3 linked regions of the Arabidopsis thaliana genome follow. The protein of the gene in region 2 interacts with the protein of the main gene of each other region in a pairwise test. Each region holds a gene or a part of one and is shown on either strand. Other genes may lie near its edges.

Evidence for each region. The genes of interacting proteins can lie anywhere in the genome.
Region 1: the proteins of AT3G52640 (region 2) and PIP1;5 interact in a protein complementation assay, tested with the Arabidopsis thaliana proteins (one large-scale study listed by BioGRID).
Region 3: the proteins of AT3G52640 (region 2) and AT1G29060 interact in a protein complementation assay, tested with the Arabidopsis thaliana proteins (one large-scale study listed by BioGRID).

What each region holds. Positions count from the first base shown.
Region 1 is NC_003075.7:12,218,634-12,223,035, reverse strand, and holds PIP1;5 (plasma membrane intrinsic protein 1;5), read right to left. Parts: upstream 2,396-4,402; 5' UTR 2,245-2,395; coding exon 1,914-2,244; intron 1,641-1,913; coding exon 1,345-1,640; intron 1,251-1,344; coding exon 1,110-1,250; intron 977-1,109; coding exon 881-976; 3' UTR 568-880; downstream 1-567. Other genes in the region: AT4G23390 (NEP-interacting protein, putative (DUF239)), read left to right, coding at 3,349-3,507, 3,646-3,732, 3,812-4,039, 4,149-4,298, 4,377-4,402. UniProt on the Arabidopsis thaliana protein: Aquaporins facilitate the transport of water and small neutral solutes across cell membranes.
Region 2 is NC_003074.8:19,514,226-19,522,591, forward strand, and holds AT3G52640 (Zn-dependent exopeptidases superfamily protein), read right to left. Parts: upstream 6,320-8,366; 5' UTR 6,193-6,319; intron 6,118-6,192; 5' UTR 6,066-6,117; coding exon 5,981-6,065; intron 5,891-5,980; coding exon 5,777-5,890; intron 5,693-5,776; coding exon 5,578-5,692; intron 5,017-5,577; coding exon 4,934-5,016; intron 4,786-4,933; coding exon 4,709-4,785; intron 4,308-4,708; coding exon 4,230-4,307; intron 3,612-4,229; coding exon 3,540-3,611; intron 3,438-3,539; coding exon 3,364-3,437; intron 3,266-3,363; coding exon 3,133-3,265; intron 3,026-3,132; coding exon 2,954-3,025; intron 2,868-2,953; coding exon 2,748-2,867; intron 2,530-2,747; coding exon 2,458-2,529; intron 2,352-2,457; coding exon 2,211-2,351; intron 2,021-2,210; coding exon 1,404-2,020; coding exon of another isoform or gene 1,400-1,403; exon of another isoform or gene 1,118-1,399; coding exon 853-1,117; 3' UTR 648-852; downstream 1-647. Other genes in the region: AT3G52630 (Nucleic acid-binding, OB-fold-like protein), read left to right, coding at 1-217, 307-371. UniProt on the Arabidopsis thaliana protein: Probable subunit of the gamma-secretase complex, an endoprotease complex that catalyzes the intramembrane cleavage of integral membrane proteins such as Notch.
Region 3 is NC_003070.9:10,145,376-10,150,347, reverse strand, and holds AT1G29060 (Target SNARE coiled-coil domain protein), read right to left. Parts: upstream 2,744-4,972; 5' UTR 2,492-2,743; coding exon 2,430-2,491; intron 2,307-2,429; coding exon 2,183-2,306; intron 1,746-2,182; coding exon 1,689-1,745; intron 1,051-1,688; coding exon 889-1,050; 3' UTR 568-888; downstream 1-567. Other genes in the region: AT1G29070 (Ribosomal protein L34), read right to left, coding at 251-464. UniProt on the Arabidopsis thaliana protein: Required for vesicular transport from the ER to the Golgi complex. Functions as a SNARE associated with ER-derived vesicles.

The sequences.
Region 1 (4,402 bases), on a different chromosome or scaffold from region 2:
GTAAACAACCCGAGTACTACATGACCAAAGGGCAAATGCAAATTACTTATTCTCTTAAAGTCAAGCTCAAGCTGAAGTCTTGCACTTTCTTGGCCCATCCATATTGCTACAACTCTTTTTTGGATGATAGTCATGTAGACTCTTTCACATTTCTTGGCCCATTAGATTCTTTCATGACTATCATCCATATTACAAGTTGCTGCATCAAACATGTGAAATATGTTATCATTCATGTGAAAGATGTTACTAAATCTGGTTCTTTTATTATTTTACTGGAACCCTACCATGTGGAACAGAACATGCATTTTCATGACTATCAACCAAAACCAAAACCAAAACCAAAACCCCGAACTGAACATCATCCAAGAATATCTATAACTGAAACTGTGATTCAAAAGTTGAAAATTCAGTTATAAGCATGTTATAAAAAGTGGAAAATGAAAGACTCTTATAGAAGAAAGAAGATGAAGAAATACTTGCGATGATGGTGTTAGACCAGTTCAGTTCGGCTTAGATGTTGTTCTATCAAATTCTACACATTTTACAATTATGTTGCTAATGTTTGGTATTGGAAACACTTATTGACAATGTTAGCAACTTAGCATACCTATGTCCAGTTCAGTTATGTCTCTGTGATATTCAAACAAGATTCTGAGCTTACACATGTACACAATGTATTCTTCCATTGACATAATTAATGTTACAAGATACAATGCCATTGATACATAATAGATTACACATTTACACTGTTACAAGATCAAAGCTCTAGTGGTACATATAGAGATCATCACACATGACATAGGAAACAAGAAGAAAGCATATAGAATTAAAGATTGATATATTCTTAGCTTGATGATGATCAGAGAATATGTAGGAAACTTTATGTCTTGGACTTGAAAGGAATAGCTCTGATGACTATCTGATGGTACAGAGCAGCAAGCGCAGCACCAATGAATGGACCGACCCAGAAGATCCACTGCAGACACATAAAACAAAAGAGACAACAGATAAGAGCAGAATTATCAAAAATTCTGAGTTGCTATTTAGATGCAATTCATAACTTATCATACTTAGCACAACCGTTGATGTAATTAAAGAGGAAAACTTACATGGTCATCCCAAGCATGATCCTTGTTGTAGATGATGGCAGCTCCGAGACTCCTGGCCGGGTTAATGCCAGTTCCAGTAATTGGGATGGTAGCCAAGTGCACCAAGAAGACAGCAAACCCAATTGGAAGCGGAGCCAAGATCTGCAAAATGTTCGATAACCAAAAAACACATGAGCTCTATGTGAAGAATATGAACTCAACACAACTCAAGGATACTAGAGAATTAGCAACATACAGGGACATGAGAGTCTCTGGCACTTCTCTTAGCATCAGTAGCTGAGAAAACAGTGTAAACCAGAACAAAAGTTCCAACAATCTCTGCACCAAGACCTGAACCCTTTGTGTAACCATGAGCCACCACATTAGCTCCACCGCCATTCGTCTGGTACAGCCCTGGTTGAAACCCTTTAACCACACCAGCACCACATATAGCTCCAAGGCACTGCATTACTATGTAGAACAGAGCTCTGGTTAAAGATAGCTTCCTCGCCAAGAACAAACCAAAAGTCACCGCCGGATTAATATGTCCTCCTGCTCATTACCAAACCAATTCGCCACACACAAGTCAAAATCAGATTATGATCTTCACACAGAAGAAACAAAGTGGGGCAAACTAACCAAAGTTTCAAACTTTAAGAAGAAAATTACTCAAAGTTTCAATCTTTAAATGTGAAATTACTTTTAAGTATCAAACTTTCTTCATTATATCCAAGTTTCTCACAACCAAGTAACCCTAATTCCAGATTCCTTCAACCTAAATTCGAAAACTTTAAACAAAATTCAGAGCAAGAACAGATCCTGAACCTGAGATTCCAGCAGTACAGTAAACAAGAGCAAAGATCATGCCACCAAAAGCCCAAGCGATGCCTTGGATTCCAACAGAGGCACACATATTGGGAGCTCTCTTAACACCCATGACTGTCAAAACGGTGACGTAGAGGAAAAGGAAAGTGGCTATGAACTCAGCTATCCCTGCTCTGTAGAAAGACCAAGATTTGAGCTCGCCGGGTTCGAAAAACGGCGCCGGTGGTGGTTCCTTATAGTCCTTGCTCTCCGTCTGAGCCGCCGTACCGATCGGCTGTCTCTCTGGGAACTTGTTGGCTCCAACATTGACGTCTTCTTCTTTGCCTTCCATGTTTCTCTCTCACTCTATCACCACCAACTTTAGTTTGTTGTCTCTGTAAATTTGATGACTGGTGTATGTGGAGGTTTTATAGTTTGGTTCATTTAGGCAAAAATAATTATTAATTAAATTTGCTACTAATTTCCAAAATCTTATATTTGTTATTCATGCAAATTTCTAAATTATCAGAAAATGTGTAAATAAATAAATATAGTTAATTACTAATTATAGAAAATAAATTAGTGAATTTAGACTAAATTAACTTAATCTGTCTAAAATTTTTGTGATAGATAATTTTAATTGCAATGGTTGATATAGAGTCGCACTCAAGTCTCTTTTGATTGATGATTTGCATTTTTTTTATTGTCAATCATAACTCGTGGTTTATAAACCTACATTTTCCATGTAAGACTTTTAATTCGTTTAATGTTTAATAACGGTTTTCTATCTAGTTAGTCTTTGAGCATAATACTTAAATTAAAAAATGTTGTTTTAAGATAAGAATTAGAGGTAGGTAGTTGAAATGGACTGGACAACTAGGCGCGAAAACGATGCATAGAAGAAGATGGACATAAGATTAAGCAACTACCATATAATTTGTTAAAACAGAATATATTACAGCTCAAATGATGTGGACAATTCTAACATAATGTTTCTATCAATTATGTGAATGATATTATAGAGGAAATTATTGGATGTCAAAAATATTATAGATGAAAGAAGACACTTCACATGGAAAATGTTCGCCTTATCGATCTCTACTGTTTATAGATCAATTCATGGTTTATTTAAGTTCCTTTGTGTCACTACTGTGTTTTTTTTTTATATTGGGCTTTGATCTAAAAACTTTTTTTGGGGTCAATTGATCCATAAACAAGCTTTTCCTTTTTCTTATGGAATATACTTTATACAAAAAAAAGTACATTAAAAAAAAGAGAAATCTTACTTTAGCATCTACATATGGGCAATAGAGATAGAGGGAGATACATTTGTCATTTACTGTGTATAGGTTCTTTGGTGGTTATAAATGATCTCAGATTTATGTGACACAATAAATATAGTTGTTCTGCTTCATTTTTTCTTTTGAAAAATATAGATTAAGATCCTTGATTCATCATGAGGTATTCCAATAAACTAATTATCTTGCTAACTTTATCAACAATAGCTCTCATTTTAGTTGGAGAGAGTCACAAAACAATACCTTCGAAAGAGGAGAAAGAAGAGATGAAGAAGCTACTTACCTATCTCAATAAACCTGCAGTCAAAAGTTTCCAAGTAAATTTAGCCTTTCTTTTCTTAAATTTTCATAAAACATTACAAAAATTGTTGACTATTGTAACAATATTACAACTATCATCAAGTTACATTTATTTTCAGACCACACCAATTTTTTCTTGCTTTTGATTTCGACAGACTGAACATGGTTATATATTTGACTGCATCGACATTCAAAAACAGCTAGCTTTTGATCATCCTTTGCTCAAGAACCATTCTATTAAGGTTTATCCTACAAACCACGAAAAAATATCTATAAATAAAATTCTTATTAATGTTTGGATGGATTGAAATATAAATGCAGTTGAAACCCACAACTATACCTAAATGGACCAAAGATAACAACGCTTCTCATAAAACTAGTTCTCTGCCATTTCGACAAGATGACATAAGTTGTCCAGTTGGGACAGTCATTGTCAAAAGAATTATACTTGAAGATCTTATACGAGCTCAACGTTTGCAATCCTTACGATTCAACTATCCAGGACAAGTGTCTGCAAAGGACAAGAAAATTGATTTAACTGGTCATCATGTAAGAATCATTTCTTATTACACGTAGTTGAATTGAGATCGCCTTGTAACTTGTCCACAATGCTTATAATATTTTTTGATTATCTATTCTTTTTCTCTTCGGATTTTAGTTTGCCACAATTAGTTACAAAGATGACCACTATGGAGCAAAAGGAAACATTAACGTATGGAATCCAAACGTCTCACCTGATCAATTTAGTCTTGCGGCTATGGCTGTATCAGGCAACAAAGGATTTCAAAGCATTTCTGCTGGATGGATTGTAAGTCAAGCTAGACCCTATTTTTACTTATTTTCTAAATCAAAAATTTGGAACTAACATTCCAAAATATGTTTTTAGGTGTATCCAGGGCTAAATCAGAATAA
Region 2 (8,366 bases):
TTGAGGAGATTCATTGGCCAAAAAGTCAGAACTGTGATTCAAGTGACTGGTTCAGAGATTGGATCTGTGGTTGGCAAATCTACTGATGATCTTCAGATCGTTGTTAGAGGATCGTCTCCTCCTTCTCCTCTTACTACTTACCTTGAGGTTATTGGAATTGCAGAGAGTGATAACGCTATTCGAGCTGAAACTTGGACCAATTTTGGCAACACTTTTGGTAATTTAGTGATTCCATTACTGTGTCGAGTTTATCAGATTTGCTATTGAGTTGTGTTTTGATGTTTTGGTTGTTATTTTTGGTTGCAGATACACAGAACTACAACGAGCTATGTAAGCTAGCAAATGGGGAGTTCAAGCACTTGTTCATCTAATGTTGTGATGATGATTATGATCATGGAAGCGATTCCATTAAAACATTTTGTAGAGATGCTTATGCTTTATATGTATTTGATGTCTCACCACTTTCTGGTTCTATGATTTTATTTACTTAGTATATGTAACAACTTCTTAATCTATCACAACTAAGCTTAAATTGCTGTTTTGTTAATTGAGGTACCAAAACACAAAACAAAACACTATTTTCTTCTTGGCAGCTAAGATTTTGCTCTGGATTTAGAATTGTATTGTTGCTTTATCTATAGGATTTTGTGAAAGCAAACTTTTTTCTTATAAATTTCTTGCCAGTGTAATAAAGAATTTAACATGAATTAGCTCAAAGACATATTTTAATAACCTTGGTTGAGAAAAAAGGTTTCTACCACTAAGGTATTGGTGGTGTTGCTGGTTAGGCAATGTCTTACGGAAACTGACAAGTAATTTTGAGCCGAGAGGAGAGGGAATTAAATACAAGTCTCAGTCCTGCTTCAAGGCTTTTGTGATGATTGACTTAGCAGCCAAAATTCCGATGTAAGCCAACGTTGTGACTGTAATACCTGCAACGAGGACTGCATTGTCGTATGCTGAGTGCTGGACTGTGTACACATGCACCCTTAAAGTGTCCCAGTTGCTTTCGGTCCACACTGGATCAACCATCCCCATAGAATCTGATGAGTTCTGTGGTAGAATTGTCCAAGCTCCATCGTTATACTTCAATCGAGTTGAATAAGCTGGAACATACCTGCCAAAACCAGAACTTAATGTGTTATGCTCAGACAGCAAATTGGTTAGGTCACATACAACATATCAGGTCAGGGGAAGAAGAAAATGATGATAGCTTCAATTCAAAGGTCAACAAACTAAAGATAGACTTTCTCCCAAGTCTAAAAACACTCCACTTCTGAAGCCTATCCTAATTAATAATTCCTATAAAATGCCTACCAGACTTAAGATTTTGGTTCATTTTGAGACATAAGAGAGAACTTGAGCATGCAAACCAAATTGCAATTTCCAAGCACAGAGTTTACCTGGTTGTGGAGACAACACATGTTCCTTCCTTGTTGCTCTCTGCTTTGATGCACACTTCGTCAGTTTTGCTACAGACTCCTTTTGAACAAACTGAGGTTGTATTTCCCTTTTGGACAGATGTTTTATCTGCCAGAAAGTTCCATAGGAATCTAGAAACATCACCGACGTAACCAAGGTAAGGTTTGGAGGAAGGTTCTCCGAGGATGACGCCAGCATAGTTGCCTGGACAAGTGTTTGTCGGTGAAATATAGTCTTTTACCAAGTTGCAAGATAAGCCCGGTTCACAAGCTAAAAGACAGGTTAGAAGCTCTTCAACGAAAGAAGCATTGACATGGATGGATCCCAGAGCTGAATTGCTTGTATCTTTGTTGTCACTTGCTAGGATGTAAAGTGTTCGGGCCACAACAGAAGCAGCAGCTACTACAGACGAGGAGTTGATATTTGCTGCAATACAACACCAGAAAGGAATCAAAAGTGCAAAATGGGGTTTGGAGCGAAAAGAAGAGAAAGACAGGCTGTGACTCTTCTTACACAAGTCATCGAGGTGACTATGGTAGAACTTATTCACAAAGTTGGTATCAAAGTCTTCAAGTACAACAGCTGAAGTCTGAGGGTTCTGCAACAATGAATATGATGTTATACCTTTTTCACTCTAGGCAATCTGGTTCAGAATCACATAATAGTAAGCAAGTATACTTCTCCTGTCATATTCATGATCAACTGAAGGTGAAGTATATGCAAAGAGTATAGTGCGAATACACATTTGAATTGTCTTCCCATCTATTTACTTGGAATATATATTGTACCTTTCTCATGAAAGCCATCAAGGAGGATGGGGGTATTCCAGGGTTTGCAGTATCTGCTGAAAGAATTTTGATGTTTTTTGATGCAAGTGAATCCTGAGCTATCTTTAAAGCATCCAGTGTCATGTTTGTAACTGAAGAAACCTAAAGCAGAACACCAAAAGTGGAGGTTAAGTCGCCTATGACAGTTTTCACATTATCGAACGAATTCGAATTATGCAAGAGTTTCAGGATATCAGGAATTTCTCACCCTTGTTTTATGAGCAAAGAAGGTGTTTATCCCTCCACTTAAACCTTTTCCAACAGATCCTATTTCAAGCACCTGTTAGATAATAGAAGAAGCAATCTGAATTCGATCTTTAGATTTAGAAAATTGTGAACATTCAATTTCACAAGGAACACTTAAACTTGCTTTCTGCGCTACTAAGAAACAAATAAGTTGCAGCAACGATGAAACACAGGCAACTTTTTCCACAGGGATTTCATGCATAAGGCTAGCTGTCTCTATCAACTTTGTCAGACCAAAACAATAATGATTACCGTTTCAATCGAAGTATTGCTAAGGCCTGCGACAGCATCTGAATGCAGATCTAATTCGTGTAAGAACCTCCTGCTGCCAAGGTAACCCCATGTCTCTCCGGTCAGAACCAAAAACACAAGCTGCATTCATTTACGATTTACATGTATTAAAGCTTGCAAACAACAAAAAGCGTGAAATAACACTAAATCACATGGTACACTGGCACCTGTTTTTTGAGATTACTAATACCATCAACTCGAGAAAGAGCATCAACTGCTCCTAGAAGAGCTACCAGACCCTGAAAGAAGGAGAACGTGTTGAGCAATAAATCGGGAAAAGAAGAATAAGAAGAGTAAATAAATGTATTCTAGATCAACCCAAAAGCAGAAAATAGCAAGTTCTCACAGATATTGGTGAATCTGCACCAAAACTTTTGTCACGGAAAAATGATGCAGTATCCATGGAGGCCACAGTCAGCACAACTGGTTTGCGATTGTTGGAAGACGAAACACTGATTGGTGGAAGCGAGGACCAAACACTGTCCTTCATAACAAAGTTGTTAGAAAACGAAACGTATCCTTTAAAAGGTTTTCATATGTCATTAGATCAGACAGTAATAAAGACCTAAATCTTTACCTATATCCGCCCAATGGGAGGCAAGTTCCCTCCTGCAAACAAGCCTCCGAATTGTGTGTTCCAGCTTTGGTAGTCTAATACAAAAAATAGAGAATTGGGTGTCATAATCTAAGTCAAAGTGAAGATCCATAAAGCTGGTTAACGTTCCAGTGAGCAAGATTGCTAAAGCCATATACCTCCATAACCATATTGAATTCAGCAACATCACTGGTATATGTTCCATGCTTCATCTTTTTCTTGGAAAGGATCTGCGCAAATATAATAGGATGTAAATATGTAGTCGATAACCTGAAAAAAGTGAAGCTATCCACATAAACTATACACTTTAGATTGCTACCAACACAACAGAAACATAAAGCTAGCTTCTTGACAGAACCTCATCTGGTAAGGACAACAACATACTATAGAATGACATAGTTGACCAGCAGTTTAAAGGCAACTACCACAAGACAAATGGAAAGGCTATGGTTGAGTCCAATTACAGGCTATGGAAAGCAACATGCATTTGAAATCTACAGATGCAGCTGGGAGTTGCCTTCAGCTGGATGAGACAAACATTCCAGGACCAAATTTGTATTCTTATTTAAAATGGGTAATCAATGCTTAGAAAAATTTCTGCAGACTAATTCAGTTTAAACTAGGAGTATTCATTTCATATGACCTTGGAGATACATATCTCATGCATCATTTTACAGCCATATTTTCATCAAGCAATACTGCTCTTAAGAGTGACCAACAGTCATAATGCCTCTCTAAGCCTTGAGTTCATTTCCTCATATTTCTAAAAATGTCATCAATTTCGCTTTTCTGACAACACAAATAGACACATTTAAAATTTGCAAAAGAATGCAAGTTTGAAGGATTACCTCATGCACAGCTGATATGCCACTTTCTGACAATAAGTACACAGGAAAATTATAATTTCTCCACATGATGCTTGATGCCTGCAAATAATCATTTTTTAGCAATGGTCAATGGCTAGAGACTTATCGCCTGCAACTACTCATAAGAATCAAAATCATTTTTTCTCCGTAGATAACAATAAGAGGAACTATCTTTTAATTAAGGTAGATAAATATGCAACAGATTTTTGAACTTCTTTATAAGTGATCATCTAGGCAGATACATGCATTCCTCCAGTAAAATTATACCATAAGAAAAGGATTTATGGTATTTGTGTGTTAGCAGGTAGTTAAGTTTAGTTCCAGAAGAAAACAGCATATAACTCGGAAATGCTTGACTATGGATTTGGTGATAACTGATTGAAACAATTTCCAACCCACTATAAAAGAGTTGACAGGAAGAAGTAATTTCAAAGATCCAGACAGAGTTTACGCTACCGTACAGCTGAATTCCATTTGTACTCAACGTTTTCATAGGGTGAAAACTGGGCTTGAGGAAACCTTTTATCAGGAGAAAACCCTACAATAAAGAAGAAAGAAACACTAACGCCATCAACATAGATAAGAAGTATCAAGTACTATTTTTAAGGGAATTAAGAACTCAAGACAATTTAAGGAATTAGCCATTCAAGTTGACAGAATCATAAATATGTGGATGGACATAGTACCTTTTAACTTTTGTTGGAAATTAGATCCTGATTCAACTAGAACACCACCAATTTTGCTAGCAAAGCTCAAATCAGTTGACACCCTGGAAAAGGCACAAAGAGGAGTGGTCCTGTTATTTCTACTGAATAGAGTGTCTAAGCGATGTACAAGTCTAATGAACAATGCCAGAAGTAAGCCAGACTGCAGGGTTCTACAGTAAAGTGTTTGGAGGTATACCTACTTTCCGTTAGTCGAATGAAAATAAAGCGGAAAAAGCCAATGAATTACTGGTTCCACTAAACACCTAATCCATGCACCAACAACCAAGTGACTACATTTCTAGCAGATTTCAAAAATGGTGATAAGAGGGTATACTCATTCCAATCTGTTGTTTCACTGTCATGGAAGATTACTAAAAGTGTTTGCCTTAAATACTCAAGTACTAATGAAAACAAACTCTTAGATATACGTTATTCTTAAGGATGTAATTGCCTTTCCAAAAAGGCTGATTTGGCACCCAAAAGCTAAATCTTGTTTGACGTTAAATAAAACACCAAAATGAGAACTACAAGCGAGTGGGAAAGCACTACTCCACAAATTAAGAGATCACTAACAAAATCGAATAGAGGTCATGAAAGTTTTGTAAATGAAAAAGGAGACATGCCTGGTAAAGAAATCTTCCATTTCATCAGCTGTAACCAAAATAGTGTGTGGCTGAACCAAATCTTTAACGTCCTTTAATTTTATGATTGGAGCCACCACTTTATTTATTCCAGGATCTGAGTATTTTTATAAACATAAAACTTAGAGGACCTCATCAACAGATAAAAATCATGTAGCTGAGAGGCCCAAAAGAAGCTTACTTGAACATCCAATCTCTCCAGACAGATTGAGAAGACGTACACAAGGAAACCCATCAACAGCAACATACATTAGCTTCTGAAGGTCAGGTACAGATTCAATAGATGTTATCTCATCTACACAAAACGAAACCTCAATTTCAGATTACAATGTTCTATCAACTAATACATTTCATCACCAATTTTATCCGGGGAAAGGAAACTCACCAGCGAGAGAGAGATGAAGAGGAAGGATTGAAAGTAGAACAAGTGTAAAAGCTATAGAAAGAAGACGAATAAGTCCCATTGCCATAGCATCCGTCAGAGAGTTGCGATTATTAGCGGAAGCTACTTGCAAATCATCGCTGCAGATACGATCAAGAATAATGTGACCGATTTTATAAAAGATCAAAAAATGTTAGAATCGGAAGAAGCAGTACCTGGGAAACGAAAAAAGGGGAAATTGGAAGAGAGAGCGAGAGAGAGGTCCGATTCGCCGGAGAAATGGAAACCTAGCTCGGAATTACGCGGTGGGAGTCTGAGTCAAAGACTGAGATTTTTCGTGTTGATTCTTATGTCTTTCAAAATTCCCAAGATATAGAAAAATTGAGGTATTCACATTTTGTGCGGATTTTATTATATTAAAAGTAATTAAGTGAACCTATCTATATATATATTTTTGCAGCCATTTTGTAAAATAAATCCTAGATTTGGAACTTATTTACAATGGCTGCCACTGGCTTTTATTTATTTATTTTCTTTTAGCAATAAATTGATTAACAAACAAAAAATATTCCAAATATATTCCAATCCCATATATCACGCAGATTTCTCCAAAATTTGAACTAGATTTCGGAAATTATTTAAAACAAAAAATATTTGACAAACCAAAATACAATTGCAATCCCTTAAAATGAGCAAAACGCACATAAATACATTTCTTATCAGTTCACTAAATCTTATTTCTCCAAAATTTGAATTAGATTTCGACAACTATTTAAAACAAAAATTTGTTTGACAAACTAAAATATAATTGCAATCCCGTAATTTTTTTTTTTAAATTAGCGGTGTACTACAAATTTTTTTAACGGGACGGGTTTGGCAGAACGGGTTTGGAAGGATGTTACTTAATAACAATTGTAAACTATAAAATATAAATATTTTATAGATAAATATAATTTACAGACTTTTATATATACTAATTTTAAAAAATAATTGTCTCCGCGGTGTACCGCGGGTTATAATCTAGTTGTTTATACAAAAAGAAAAAATATTTTCATTCCACATTTTCTTTTTTTTTTTGTAAGAAATTTGTATTACATTTTATGGCTTCATTTTTACAAAATCGTAGACTAATTATGATTGATTAGGGTATTATTTGCTAGATTATATAGGCAAGTTTTGGCTAAAAATTGATAAAAAAAAAAACATATTGTATATGGTAAAACTATAATTTTAAAGAAATTATTCCATATGTGATTTTAACAAATAACGTAGATCATGTATAAACTGCATGTTAATTAAGAAAAAACTAGTGTTAATTTTGAAAACAATGTGTAAAAAAAATATAAGGCGCAAATTCTCATCCAACTTGAAAGTTTTTTTTGCATAAAAATCAAATTTGTCGTATATTAAGATCGGTAATAAGCCGTAATATAAGATTGGTCGCATCATAATAAAAAGTGACTACACCTCCTTGATAGTCTCGCTTAGGCATCTTTTAGGTCATATCAATACAACATACACATATACATATTTTTCAACACCTGAGGTGCGCGAAGATAGACACTTCTTCATCCTCTCCGTAATTCTCAAAATTAGGGTTTTCTTCCGGCAGCTCTCTCAGGTACTTTCTCGCTCTTTCTTCTTTCATCTCATTGCGCCTCTCTTCGTTTCCTTTCGTGAATCTTTTTTTTTGGTTGGGGATCCAAAATTGGGATTTGTGTAACTCTTCTTATCTTAATTAAAAACTGAATCTTTCTCTCATTTTTGTTCCAATGATTGCTAAGTTAGCTTAAACACGCCTTTGATTGACATTTCTCTGAGTTATAGCTTTGTATGTGTATTGGGTTGTTCTTGGTTGTATCTATCATTGTGGTCAATTTGTGTGAAATAATCAAATAGAATTGTAGTTATAAGCTGAGGATTCTCTTAACAGGTTAGATTGGCAGCATAAAAAATATCACTTGCAAATTCTGAACAATGTCTGTTGTGGGAGATTCTAACATGGAGCTGGAGTTTTCTAAGCAAAGATACTATTTTGACTTTAGCCCTTCTTATCTTTCTTGTTGCCATGAATATTTTAACCTTCTTTGCATCTAACCAAGGCCTATGATATCATGGTTTTTATCCGCTCTCAGGGGTCATTTCGTTTCTTATCTTTTTTTGTTTCACCTGTTGAGCATTTCATCGCCCTCTTCTCTCTTTGTCTATTTGTTTGTCACCTTTTTAGCCGCATTATGGCAAAGCGTCAATTCGAACTTCTTATTCTTCTTTTCTATTGGCCTCTTATTGTTTCTTTTCCAACCTTTCCTCGGTTTTATTCTCTCTCCCCACTTGCTTCTTGCTTCTGTGTCTCCTCCACAGTTGTACTGCAAGCATTCTTTTCTAGATA
Region 3 (4,972 bases), on a different chromosome or scaffold from region 2:
GCTTCTTTCACTCACACTCCCAAATCGAATTCACCATTGACAACTATGTTTCACAATTCCCAAATTCTTCTAAAAAAGCTTCGAATATATGTGTTTGCAAAGTAAGCTAGAGCCTAACACACGAGAATAGTGATAAATCAACCAAACCCAAAGAACCAGAAAAAAAAATCAAAATTGGGTAAAAGAACTTGATACATTACATCACCAGAAGCTAAACACAAACAATAATTCGAACCAATTTAAGATGTACCAGAAAATGGAGACGCTAGGGAAACAGGCGACGAGAGAAACGAGCAATGAAGCAATTGCGAAGAAGCGGAAGAAGTGAGAGAGGACGAACTCCGTCTACAACCCGTACGCAGAGAAAGCGAAGCAGAAGGAACGCAAATCTTGCCGTTGGAGGCAGCAGGATTCCATAAACGCGACGAAGCCGAAGCTACAACGGAAGTGGATAAGGAAGCCATTCAAGTTCCCACTTCTTATCTCCAAACCCAGTTCCTTTGTTTCTCCGGTCTCCTTTACATAGTGTGGAACCTCTATCGTCTACGGACGATACCACCATAAACTTACGCATAAGAACCAACCATAATAATACACGTATCACGACACTTCAGCCCATAAGACTATAAAAGCCCAATACTGAATTGGACCGGACGGGTAATTAATCAAGTTAAGGCCAGATTTGAACTGGTCTAAAATATCTCATGCTGTTGTTCTGTGATACAATTTTGCTTCATGTAAACTGTTAAAAACAGGCACTCTATATAACAGGTAACGAGAAGAACCACAAAATGTTTGTAATCTAGAGGATATTTTCTACAACTTATCCAACATTCATCAAGGGTTTTTTTTTGGGGGGTAACACAAGTATGCCATGAGTCTCTCTATCTATCTTTTGAACATCTTGGACCACATGTAGAGGATAAAGAAGAGGAGGAGCGCGAAAAGAACTACGTGCATTATGTGGTTGTTACCACTACGGATTATGCTTAGGTTCAGTTTCCTTATGTTGTTCTTCACCCCTGCTTGCGCTCTGATCAATGTCATTTGCTGTCACAAACAAAAACAAAATACCATTGAAGCGTTTTATGTTTCAGACAAGAACAACATTTCGTCTACTTATTTTATTTTGCTTATAACAGCACTAAATGCTTGTTTCTGCAGTCTCACTACCAAATCTAGTTGTTTGTCATTATCTTCTCTAGGATGTTCTTCTAGGTAACAAAAGAAAAAACTAGAACGAACTAAAAGCAATGAACACATTCAACACCAACATTCTCATTGACAAAGTGGCAGGAACTCAATGATAAGCTGTAACCATTTCCTGCTGCATTTCACCAAACTAGGTGAGATTGAAGATATCTAATCCTACCCACCACCAGCGTTCAGACCAGATCCTAAGTAAACATAATCTACACTTTGGATTTATCAAGATTCATTGGTTTTGTAAGCTACGGTTAAAGTTATCTAACATATGTTAGGATGAAACTATATTTTCCCAACTAATAATGAACAGAGACATCTGAAACAAGTTATAGGAAACCGATATTCGGATATACTATATATAATCAGTGATTCATCTTAAAGGTAAAGAAGAGTAAATGAATGCATGTTACTGATGTTAAGTGCTTACATTGCAATTTACTATGATGGATAAAGAAAAAACTAAAGGGACATCAACAACATACCAGTTCATCTAAGAAGTCCCTCTGAGACTTTGCTTCTGACCCAATTTCTTGAGCAATCTGCATCAAAATAAGCGATCAACGATATAACAAAAAATCATGAGGGATAAATAATGCGCAAAAGTGCAAGGTAAAACACAAGGAATTGTAGAGAATGTCGACTGATTCCTTCAAGAAGGGTGGTGATATAAAACAATAACCACAGATGTATACAAAAGACATCAGACAAGTGGATTCAACTAATTAATCGTGGACTGACTGATAAGTATTGTGAACAATAACATTATCATAGTACCCTGAACAAAAAAACACCTACACAACTAATTAACCAAGCTCTAACCACTGTCAAAACCGAAAAGAAGACAAATTTCCAAATTCATATGATCAACTTAAAGCTTAAAGAGAACAATGATCCTTCAGAACCACAAGAAGACAATACAAATGGCACTATAGATAAAAAGTAGAAAGATCGAAATGGGATTTAGAGGGTTTCTTACATTTTTCAATTGCCTGACTTGGCCATGGAGACCTAGAATCTCATCATCCAGGTCAGAGTGCATAGGATCAATCCTCAGCTGAATTTCCTCTGAACCTGAAGCATTTCTAGTGCTTAGCCCTTCTCTACAAATCACACACCAAAGATAAATACTTGTACTTTACGCAGAATTCACCAAATCTAGGACCCGTTTTCTCTATCCAGAATCGATTTCAGAAAAGGAGAAACTGATAATATTAGAAATATACCTAGATCTATACGGATCAGCTCCGCCGTATAGAGAACCACCCGCACCGCGATTGGACGCCATCGACGCGAAATCTAATGGGTGTAAGAAACCCTAAATTCGAATCTGCTGGGGTTTGAGAAATTAAGTTTTGTATTCTCTCAGAAAATTCGAGATCGAGAAATTGCAACCAAAAGAAGAGAACAAATTTCAGGCAAATCAAAGAGAAAAACGACGACGATTGAAACAAGCTGGGCGGGTGCTCTTCGATTCAATGATAAATGACCGCGAGGGAACACGTGGCGTTTTAATATTGGTTGATTATCGTCATGTTTTTGAGTTATGTAAACAAATAAAGAATGGCAGTTTTGAAATATTCGTCAGCCAATATTTTTTGGTTTATGGGCTTTTTTAACGGGCCGATCCCAACTTTAGTGGACCACAAATTCATTCGTTCATAATGATGTCATTGAAAAAGAGAGGTATTTACTCTGTTCGTTCTACATTCGTTGTATTGTAAGCATCAACGATACCCAATTACACAAGAAAAATGTTGTTTTTTCATGATGGTGTTGTTATTTTCTAATTGTTGTTAACGAAGAGTAAAGATAATAGAATCGTGTTTGCATTGTAGTCGTTAGTTTATCCATCGGTATTTATTTTTAATTTTTTAGTCTTTTTTTAATATATTAATTTTTAGTGATTGTTAACCAACTGTTTTATAAACGTTAACGATATGTAGGCTAAATTTTCTGAATTAGCAACAATGTAACAAGCATGATTTTATCGCTGAAAGGTATTGTTGAACCAACAAACTACAAAACAAACATAATTTCATCATTTGTCACTGTTGTGTATCACTGATGAAAGCCAAACAAACATATCCTAGTTTTGGTTACAATATCTCAGTGTTGATATGATAGATGATGGTAAGCGGTAACTCAATTTTCACATAAAGTAGTGGTCTTGACTTGTTGTTTCTAGTTGGTTGGGGCTAGGTGTCATTGCAATCGTTTTGACATTTTAGTAGGATCAAAGAGGTCCAGTCCAACGAATTTGAGGTCTAGTACAGAAAATGAAAATTTTGAGCTTTAATTAACATTTTTATTGAAAATAAATATTAATTGGAAAATTTCTATTTTTTTCAAAAACTTGGACTTTTATTCTGTTTTATTGAAATATTGTCTGAATTTTTAAAAAGAAATGAGCGTTTGTCTTTTGTACTTATCTAACAAATGGTTTATGTCTTGTGTCATTCATACTTTTGTCCTCTCTATTTTGATCTGGTATGACGTTAAAGTGTTATCCATTATTCATACGGTCCATGTTGCATTGGACTATATATCTACTAGTCAAATTCAAACATTTGACCTTCCACCAGATCCTATCGTAATTTTTACGTGAGTTGTAGTCCTTTTTTGTTTCCTGAAAGCAGAATTATTGTACCCATCTTTTTAACAATGGTAAGAAGATTTACGAAAAATGGTTCAATGAAACGTTCAAAAACTGTGAACAGAAATTGATTTGCTAATGTAGTTCGGAAAAGGAGAAAATGGAAAGTTGGAGAATTTATATATTAAAAAAAAAAAAAAAAGTTGGAGAATGTTATTAAATCATCGCAAAAACTTGTTAAATCACTGATACAAATATTGGAGAATTTTACATTTTCCTTTCTGCATTATAAGCTTATGGTTATGGCTATCTTTGTGAGTAAATAAACATCTTTTTAATTATTATTTTTTTCATTTATATATTCGAAATTAACTAGATGAGGGATTTAGTAAACAGAAAGAAGAGTTGACATCATGTAAAATCGACCGACAGGTTCATAATGATGTCATTGAAAAAGAGAGGTATTGTCATATATGGTGTCACCGCTAGGTAACAGAGACGTACATTAGCTTATGTTGATGTATTGTCAGTTGGTTAATAAAGCCCACCACTACTTCACAACTTGGTTGACTTTTCGTTTTAGTATTCGATTTGTCATCATTAATTATCTCCCAAGAATTTAGTCCACCGAGTCGTATGCTATATAGAATCCAAAAGATATCAAAAATTTACAAACAAACATTATAATAATACTTTGTACAATTCCTTTAGTTTAGTTCAAGTGCAAAATAGAAACTTATTCATGAACTGTATAGATTTCATATTTCGTACTTTGTCTCAACTAACAAAATGTATGTACTTTTGGAATTAAAAACATATTTAAGATTAACTAAATTTCATCACGAGTGTATTTTGTATATGATCGTACTACGTTAACCAAAAAGTTTCACTATCCCCAATACCCGAGTTTCTTAAAATATCGTATACTCTATATATAGTTTTATTTTCAATATATATTATCCTTGAATTATCATTAAATTCATGGATTTAACTACCCAAATATTATTTATAAAGATTTCATATCTTTTGGATTCCTAACAATTTATTGTATTTAAAAAGAAAAGAAAAAACTAGATCTGACGTTAGATAGTTAGTCCATAACAGATATAGTTGATATCCTATCAATTGTGAAGTGGGATAGTTATATAATTGACCGTTTTGCGGAGCCGAGCT